Caenorhabditis elegans: one gene and its partner. The protein of the gene in region 1 interacts with the protein of each later gene in a pairwise test. Each region holds a gene or a part of one and is shown on either strand. Other genes may lie near its edges. The genes, in order: B0261.7 and C36B1.11.

Region 1 (3,946 bases):
ATTTTTGGTTACATCAGTGTAGAATATCATCTCATTCTTCCAGAATGTGGATGCTTCGACTACAAACCGCTTACCATAAATCACGTAGCCATTTTGGATAAGGAACTAGCTCAAGAAATTAGAATTGGAAACCTAACTACGCCTATTTACACGTATGAGAATTGTGATTACATTTATATTCAATGCGGTGAAGAGAACGCAAGAACTCGACAATTATTGAGAACTAATTGGCCAGACAGAGGAACTATTTACGTAAGTTTTTGGAAGTTTTTAAACAGCCCCCTTTGTTAATATTTCAGAAAGTTGATATGACAATGATCTCACGTACAGCTATACTTTGGTTTAAAGTTGAATGCGACAAGAAAAGCCACGATTGGAGATACATTTTAGTGGACGATGACAGAGAAATTGTTAATGAGCATTTGGTTTGTCATTCTGTTCAATAAAATTCTGAAATACTGATATTAATAAATTGCTTATTGATCTCTTATAAAAGAGCTCTTATAGTTTGTTAGTGACAATCATCTGGCAGCAACATTTATAAAGCAGTGCGGTTCATTAGAGATTTGAAAAATTGATACAAAATAAAATGTATTGCATGTGGAATAAGTTTCAGTCACTGGGTGCGTTTATTGTGGTCTGAAAATAAAACATTGATTTTCTGAATTTCTTTTGAGAATACTCACGGGTAGTAGAGTGCAACATTGTGTCGCTCTTTGAAGCGACTAGCAGCAGCCATTTTCTCCTCGAGGCTTCCAACAGATTCATGAAGCATGTCAGAGACTGCTTGCAAAGCCTGCTCAATTGTCAATTCGTCTCGAATTTGATCGAAACGGAGACTCAAACTACGACAGAGCATGTTTATTGCAGAATCGTTTTGCTTCTGTAAAATATATATTTGCAAACACTCCGTACGGTATTTTCAAGGAACCTACAAGGTTCTCCACTTTAACAGTTGTAATAATCGAAATCGAAGTGGAATCGACTTTCGGAATATCTGGGACTGGTGATGCAGCTGCCGGTGGAAGGGTAACATCTGATGCTCGCTTTTCCAGGTCTTTGTGAGAAGTTTTCTTCTCTTCTTTCTTCGATGATGGTTCGCTGTCTTTGTTACTACCTTTAAACTTGGCCAGTATATCTTGGAAACAGTTCTGAACAAAATAATTGATTTTTGTAAACGGAGAACACTAACCAAGGAAAGACCGGCGAGCTTTTTAACATAGACATCGCTTTCTGTACGACAGTTATCAACTGTATTTTTCAGGTCCACGAGCATTTTCTTTCTTTTCACGAATTCGGTGCAACTGTTGGCATTATCAAGATACGAAGCCACATCAGCCTGCAACCAAGAGTATGGTAACGGTAATAAATGTTCAAGTACTAACCACTGGAAGATGTGGAATACCGAAGTCGTTGGTGATCATGAAATCAGTTGATTCGTCAATATCAAGAAATGCAAGTGTCTGGTAAATCAGTCCCATATCTTCACCAGTAGAAGCCGATTTAATCTGAAATGTTTCTTGAGAATTGATTTCATACTCACTGTAACTCTACCGCTAATTTGTAGGCTCCCTCCGCCTGATCAGAATGATTCTTGTGGCTGCCCGTGAAGATGCATGCCGAGCAAAATACTTTTTCATGTAAATAAAAGTCGAACGGCGAAGCATATTTCTTGTTTCCTTTGAAAACTCCAGCGCACTTTTCATGTCGGCAGACAAAGAGAAGTTTGTGTGGCACGAGGTCCTTGCATTTGTAGCATCTTGCGGCGTTTTCAGTCCATCTTGAACGGTTGACCGCACCCGAAGACTGATCTGGATCCGCTTCTGAATTTTCGTCCCCATTGCTAGAAGCAGTCTTTTCCAGAGAAAGTTGGACCGAATGATCGCGACTGCTGTGTACACTATCAACACAGCTCATTTTATCTGAAAAAATTGGGATAATGAACTATAATGTTTAGATATTAAGGTAGAAAATTATAAGCTCGAAAAATATTAATGGTTCCTCCAAAGTATCCTTCGTTTACTAAAAATTGCGATTATTTTAATATTAAATTGAAATAAAAAAGAAAATATAGCGTTGCGAAAATGATGAGAGAAACTTTAAGAGAAAAATCCTAAAAACTATTTCGATAGAGCATCATTGCAATGTACGCAATTTTCCTAACAGTGTTTGCGGACTTTGCCATTGTCTACCGTAGTATGGTTTTATTATTAAATATTACTGTATTATTAATAATATGTTAATTTATTAGCTAAAATTCAAGTTTATAATATTTTATTTTGTCACATATTTTGAAAAAAATTTTAAAAATTAAAATTTAATGGCGTTGATAAAAAATAAGTTAATAAATTCAATTTATGCAATGATTTCTGGTTGAGTGGATTGGATTGAAGTCAGAAGCCCGTTTGAAAATACGTCGACTCTTTCCTCTGCTTCGTTGAGATCAAAATTGGAAGTGGTATCGTTCGTTTCAACGTTTTCTTGCTGCTCATTTGTATTGTTGGCTGAAAAAGCAACATTAGGAAAAATCGAAAAATCAATTTCAAATTAACGAACTCACATTCCGTTTCCTTCTCAAAAAGATTCTCCAAAGTGTCTTCTTGATCCACTTGTGCCTCCTTTTCAGGTATTGGAAGCTCCTCGTCTTTTTCAGTAGACTTCTCGAGAGCAACAATTTCGTTTTTCTTTTCATCACTATCCTTCAAGTTTTGGTCGTTTTCAGATTGTTCATGAACAATTTCGTCTTGCTCCTCAATCTCTTCCTCGTCAATTTCATGCTCAAACTCGATATTTTCTTCTTCCGCCTCTTCATCCTGGACCTCACAAGTTCGCTGAACTTTTACTTCTGGTTCAAAATCATCTTGGAGCTCGACGGCTGGTCTTTTGCGTTGAGAAAGAAATCCTGAATCACCAGTTTTTGTAAAATCGTAAAAATATTAAAGTACAGATGATAACTCACCAATGGCTTTTCCGATAGGATTAGATCCCTCTGGTGTGGATAGAAGGCTTCCCATAGTTCTGAAATTGAAATACTTGTTTCTTATTATTCATCTGATGAAGGCTTAGAAGAATTTAGAGCGAGGAGAACTGCTATGTATCAAACACCGTAATTTTTGCGCCAAAAATACGGTAGCCGGTCTCGACATGATCGACCTTTATTGAATGCAGAAATGGTGTGCGCCTTTAAAGAGTACTGTAACTTCAAACGTTAGTTGCTGCGGAACTTTCATAAATTTTTCTCACGATTTTTTATGAATGGTATTACGGTACTCTTTAAATGTGAACTTTTTGCAATTCACGAAAATTTGTCGTGTCGAGATCGTGCACCGTACTTTTTGGGCAAGATTTCGCATCTTGGTACTTCAAACTTTTTAGACTTTAAAAAACACGTATACGTATAGACATAAGGCAGACACGTACGACTGAAGAAGTGCCTGCCTACTATGGAATGCCTAAAATTAATAAAAATTATCGTTGATCAGCTGCACTTTTGAACATTTTTGGATAGTTTTTAAGAGTCAGGAATGTTTTTGGCTCATAAAATTTCCAAAAGAATATAAAATTTAGGATTGAAGACTTGACATACGACGGACGACGAAAACAAAGACACTGAGGGAGATCGAGAGAATTAGAAGTGGAAAAAAGATTGAGAGGATGAAAAGAGAAAAAGAAAATGGACGACTGCAGCAGCGGCCAGCACACGAGGACAAATGTTCACCCGGTGTGAACGAGAAAAAGGATAAAAATTAGAGAAAGAGGAGGAAAGGAGAATGATTATGGGTGCAAAAAAGAAGACTGAGGTTTATATTTGCATTGCAAGACTTGTTTGACAGGAAACTGATTTCATTTCAAACTTTAAATTCATCGTCAAAATATATGTAGGAATGCGTAAATAGTTGTTAGGAGATTGAGTAGTTTTAGGGGGAATATTTTACAAAATCATGGG
Region 2 (4,176 bases), 3.5 Mb from region 1:
GTAACATTCGCTTGAGAACCTTTTATGTTTTAATTTTAAATGTTTTGTGTGTCTTTCGTCTTTGATGCCAACTCTTCTCAACCAACCACAATTGCTTGCACACTTTTTTCCTTGAATGCCTGAAATTTGCATTTTCACCTTAACTGCTTCTTATGTGTTCTGATTTCAGAAATATCACCATTGCAGTTTAAAATTATAAAAATTCAAATAATTACAAAAAGTTTTCAGATCAATTCTTCTTCTTCTCCTGATGATACAATGGAAGACATCGAATCAAACGCTGTAATCGATCAATCCAACTCTTCTAGTCAACAAAATCCTCCTGTAAACGTGTAAATCAACTGAAATCTCTTCCCCAATGTCTTTTCGAGAAGAATTGAAATTTGCCTTTTCAAAAGTTCAATCAAACTCTAACCGTTTTTAAATATTCAAATTAACGAGCCACATTCATATTCTTGTAAAATCGATGGTTGTTCTGTGTAAATTTTCACGTAGGTATGTATCTTTCTTATTCAAGTTTTCCATAATTGTTTCTTCCTAGTACGAGTACCCCACTTTTGTCCATTCTTATTTCAATTTTACACACATAATTATTTCTATTCAAAATAGAATTTTTCCGATCGTTCCTCTCGAAATGAAAATTTATGATCGAATCGTTTCTGAAGCAATTGCTATTTGACTATATTCGATAATTACAAATGACACATGAAAGTTCCCGTCGAATTTTAATTGTTGGGTTCACGAAAACATGCCATGCAGAGCGAGAACAAACGAAAAGTTCTGTATTTTGGTCAAATAATAAACGAGAACTAGATAATTTCAGGCTCTAATAGTTTATTTTCAAATTTTTGATTTTGAACGAGTTGAAACATGCGAAAAAAATTTTCGTTTTGGCATTGAAAAAGGTGAGAAATAAAAGAAGTATGTTATAGTAGAATTCGGCGTAGAATGTAAGAATTTCCTTAATATGTGCTCATTTGTTCGGTAAAATTGAATTCATTGAAACTGGCGCCTGAAATTTGAAACTTTAGGAATCGACGATTAATGAAAAGAGAAACTCACGGCCACTTGATCGAGTAATTTCTCTCCATGTACTCGGCAATTGCCTTTTTTTGATCGTTAGATTCGATTCTATCATCAAGATAATCTGCAATACGAGAAACTGCATCCTCTGGTGATTCCCGACGAATACACATTTCAAAACGGCGTGATATGGTGATAACAGTTTCGGTCATGCTCTCGGTGTACTGAAAAAATTAGGCTTTATAACGTTTTAGTTGTATAATAAATGTTTACTCAATTTTTCGAAAGAATGCGGAGTTTATTTTAAGTTGGAAGAAATTGATTATATAAAACACTCAAGCCTGAAAGTATTTATGTTACTTACACCTTCATTAGTGCTGCTCTTATTTTTCAATTCATCGCCTCCGGAGACTTCGCTGCATGAAAGGGCGTTGTCTGGATTCTGATTCAGGATAACTGTGCCAGTAGTTGATGTAGAATGAATACTGGATTTTTTTGATGAAATAGACGACCGAGAAGATCCTTGACATTCATGCGAAACATCTGATAAGTGATCATCTGTAACACAGTTTTGTTTTCAACGATCAGAGATTTTTATAAGTTACCATCGCTCTGCGGAGAACCATTTTCTGAGTCTCTCTCAATTGTCGCATTAGCATCATAAAATGCATCCTGTAAAATCATTGTTATTCGAGTATTCCAAATTTATACTTGATATTGTAATAGTCAAACTCACAAGCATCTTGTTAGCCAGCTCTTTGACGCGATGGTAGCCTTCAATACGATTAAATTTAATAAATTGGATAGCCTCGTTGAGTTGCCGTTGACGCAAATTCCATTCCACAATCGTTTTTGACTGTGACAAGTATTTAATCACATCAATCTGAGTTAGTTAACAATAATTTTCTAAAATTTCTTAAATTCTCACTTTTTCCAATTTTTCGTGACCAGAAAGAATAATGGCATAATCAACAGGATTATCTTCATGTAGTTCGGATAGAACATCGAATTCCATTTGCAATCTGACTCCAATCTCTTGTGAAGCGATTTTAAACTGAAAAATACATTTTATTGAAAAATCAAGAGTGTTGAATGAGAGCATACCGCCAGTTTTTGCGCTTTTGACACGAAATCTTTGTGCATTTTGTGTGGTCCGACAAAAGCACACTTTCCACAAATAACTTTCTCTTTTCGATAGAACATTGCCGGCGTCATAATTGAAGAACTTTGTTTGAGCGCATATTTGCAGCCTTCGTGACGACAAATGAATAATTGACTGTGTGGGGCGAATATGGAACAGATTGTGCAAGTTCCCATTGTGTCGGTGTAAGCGGAGCACTTTTGTCCTGACATTACATCTTGATGAAGAGGAAATGTCGAGGCAAATTCAGCTGGTGTTGGTGGTTCTTTGGTGAGAACTTGATTGAAACTATCAATCGTTCCAGAGGAGGACACTGAAATTAATTAGATTTAAGAAAAATAGAAAAATATGAGCTTACTCTTCAGATTATTATTACTTGTGAGTGATTATTATGTTTGAAGTATGATCCTTTACCTTAAAATTGAATTGTATTTAAAGTGAGAAAACGACTTAGGAGAGAAAAAAGCACATGTGGAACGAAAATACGAGAATTTTGAAGCATAATGTTTATTTAGATGAAGATAGAAGCTGAAATATTGGGAAAACTTGAAAAACAGTCAAATATCACTTCTGGAAGCAATTCATTCGTTCAAAATGAACATTTAATTCCTATATAGGCCTACAACTAGGTCAAAATCAAAAAATGGCGCAATAAAAAAGTTCAAATGTGGAGTTGTGCGGAGACCCGAAGAACTATAGTTTTAAAACCGTGCGGCAGTTGCAGAAATGGGCGTATTGCAAGTCACGGTTCTGTGGGCGGGGCCAATCCCCCGAGTTGGTAATCCCCCCAATTGGACATCCCCCGAGTTCTTCGGGTCTCGTTGTGCGTGCAACGAGGCACACGCGCAATTGCAGTATTCATTTACTACAGTAGTCTTCAAAACTGTAGTTCGCGCACCCTGTTTCGATGGGGCTTCTTCTAAATATTGATAATAACGCAATAAAGAGCATTTCTTTCAAATATTACCGAATTAAATTATCTTCATAAAAAATAACACTGTGAATAGAATGAAGCAAAGTGATTGTCGTGGAGAATTGAGTGAGAAGTGAGATACAAGTTATGATTTGACAAGAAAATACATGAGAACCAGCAAATTAGATGAAATAATTGGTTAGAAACGATTTGAACTACTGTCGTCGTTTGAATTGATTGAGGTATTCAAAAAAGTCTAATGTTTTGAGGCGTGGTCCGGCACCTTGAGCAATGATGGCCATTGTTGTGTGAACTCCGTAGGAGATGATCGGAACGACGTCAGAATATCCCTGAAATTCAGAAAACATAAACACTTTTGAGTAAGCAACATACGGTATCTGTTAGGTTCGTCATGAGCAAAACTGTCATTGCTGCGTTTGCCAAGATTGGAATAATCATATTGGAGACACGATTCTTATCATAATGATATCTGGAGAATTGTCCCATTACTGTGAGTCCCATGAACAGCACGTAGAACATAATATTGCTGAGATAGAGCAAGCCACCCCACTGAAAAATGTATATAGTTGAATTTGAAACAAATAAAGTTTGCGTACCACCCATTTTTTCTCCAGCAGATAATGATTTACAATGACAATAATCGAGCAAACGGCCATTCCACAATTTCCGGCAATCGCATTGGTTCGTCGGCAGACACGTGGAGCGACGACACACATTGCCAAAAATAACCAGACAGCAGTTCCGAAATATATTGCAAAATCAACTTTATATCGATAGAAGCCCATGCGAACATTTGCTTGAAGATCCGGACGTAACCATGCGTAGAAGTAAACACTAAATAAGAGTCCGGCAACGTTGATAGCGCCAATCATTCTGAAATTGAAGAGACAGGTCAGTAGTTTGAAACTGAGCTTAAAATTTAAAAACTATTTAGAAGAAGTACCGGAGAAATGTGGCGAAACACAAAAGAATACGCCAAAAAGTCGGAGAAAATGAAAACGAAAAACTACCGCAAAAAACCATTCTGGTGGATATTCCTTGCCGCAATTAGATAACAATATAGAGCAAAAGAAGATTC

What was found.
Region 2: the proteins of B0261.7 (region 1) and C36B1.11 interact in a two-hybrid assay, tested with the Caenorhabditis elegans proteins (one large-scale study listed by BioGRID).

Annotation. Positions count from the first base shown.
Region 1 is NC_003279.8:5,269,018-5,272,963, forward strand, and holds B0261.7 (Zf-tcix domain-containing protein), read right to left. Parts: upstream 1,925-3,946; 5' UTR 1,918-1,924; coding exon 1,555-1,917; intron 1,509-1,554; coding exon 1,386-1,508; intron 1,340-1,385; coding exon 1,193-1,339; intron 1,152-1,192; coding exon 936-1,151; intron 884-935; coding exon 687-883; intron 640-686; coding exon 630-639; 3' UTR 528-629; downstream 1-527. Other genes in the region: B0261.9 (DUF4377 domain-containing protein), read left to right, coding at 44-252, 300-446; B0261.8 (uncharacterized protein), read right to left, coding at 2,356-2,504, 2,561-2,902, 2,960-3,014.
Region 2 is NC_003279.8:8,755,026-8,759,201, forward strand, and holds C36B1.11 (uncharacterized protein), read right to left. Parts: upstream 2,579-4,176; 5' UTR 2,523-2,578; intron 2,478-2,522; 5' UTR 2,377-2,477; coding exon 2,128-2,376; intron 2,078-2,127; coding exon 1,952-2,077; intron 1,907-1,951; coding exon 1,760-1,906; intron 1,696-1,759; coding exon 1,629-1,695; intron 1,582-1,628; coding exon 1,388-1,581; intron 1,248-1,387; coding exon 1,063-1,247; intron 1,013-1,062; coding exon 997-1,012; 3' UTR 821-996; downstream 1-820. Other genes in the region: imp-1 (IntraMembrane Protease (IMPAS) family), read left to right, coding at 229-336; DY3.8 (SWEET sugar transporter), read right to left, coding at 3,293-3,427, 3,471-3,647, 3,695-3,970.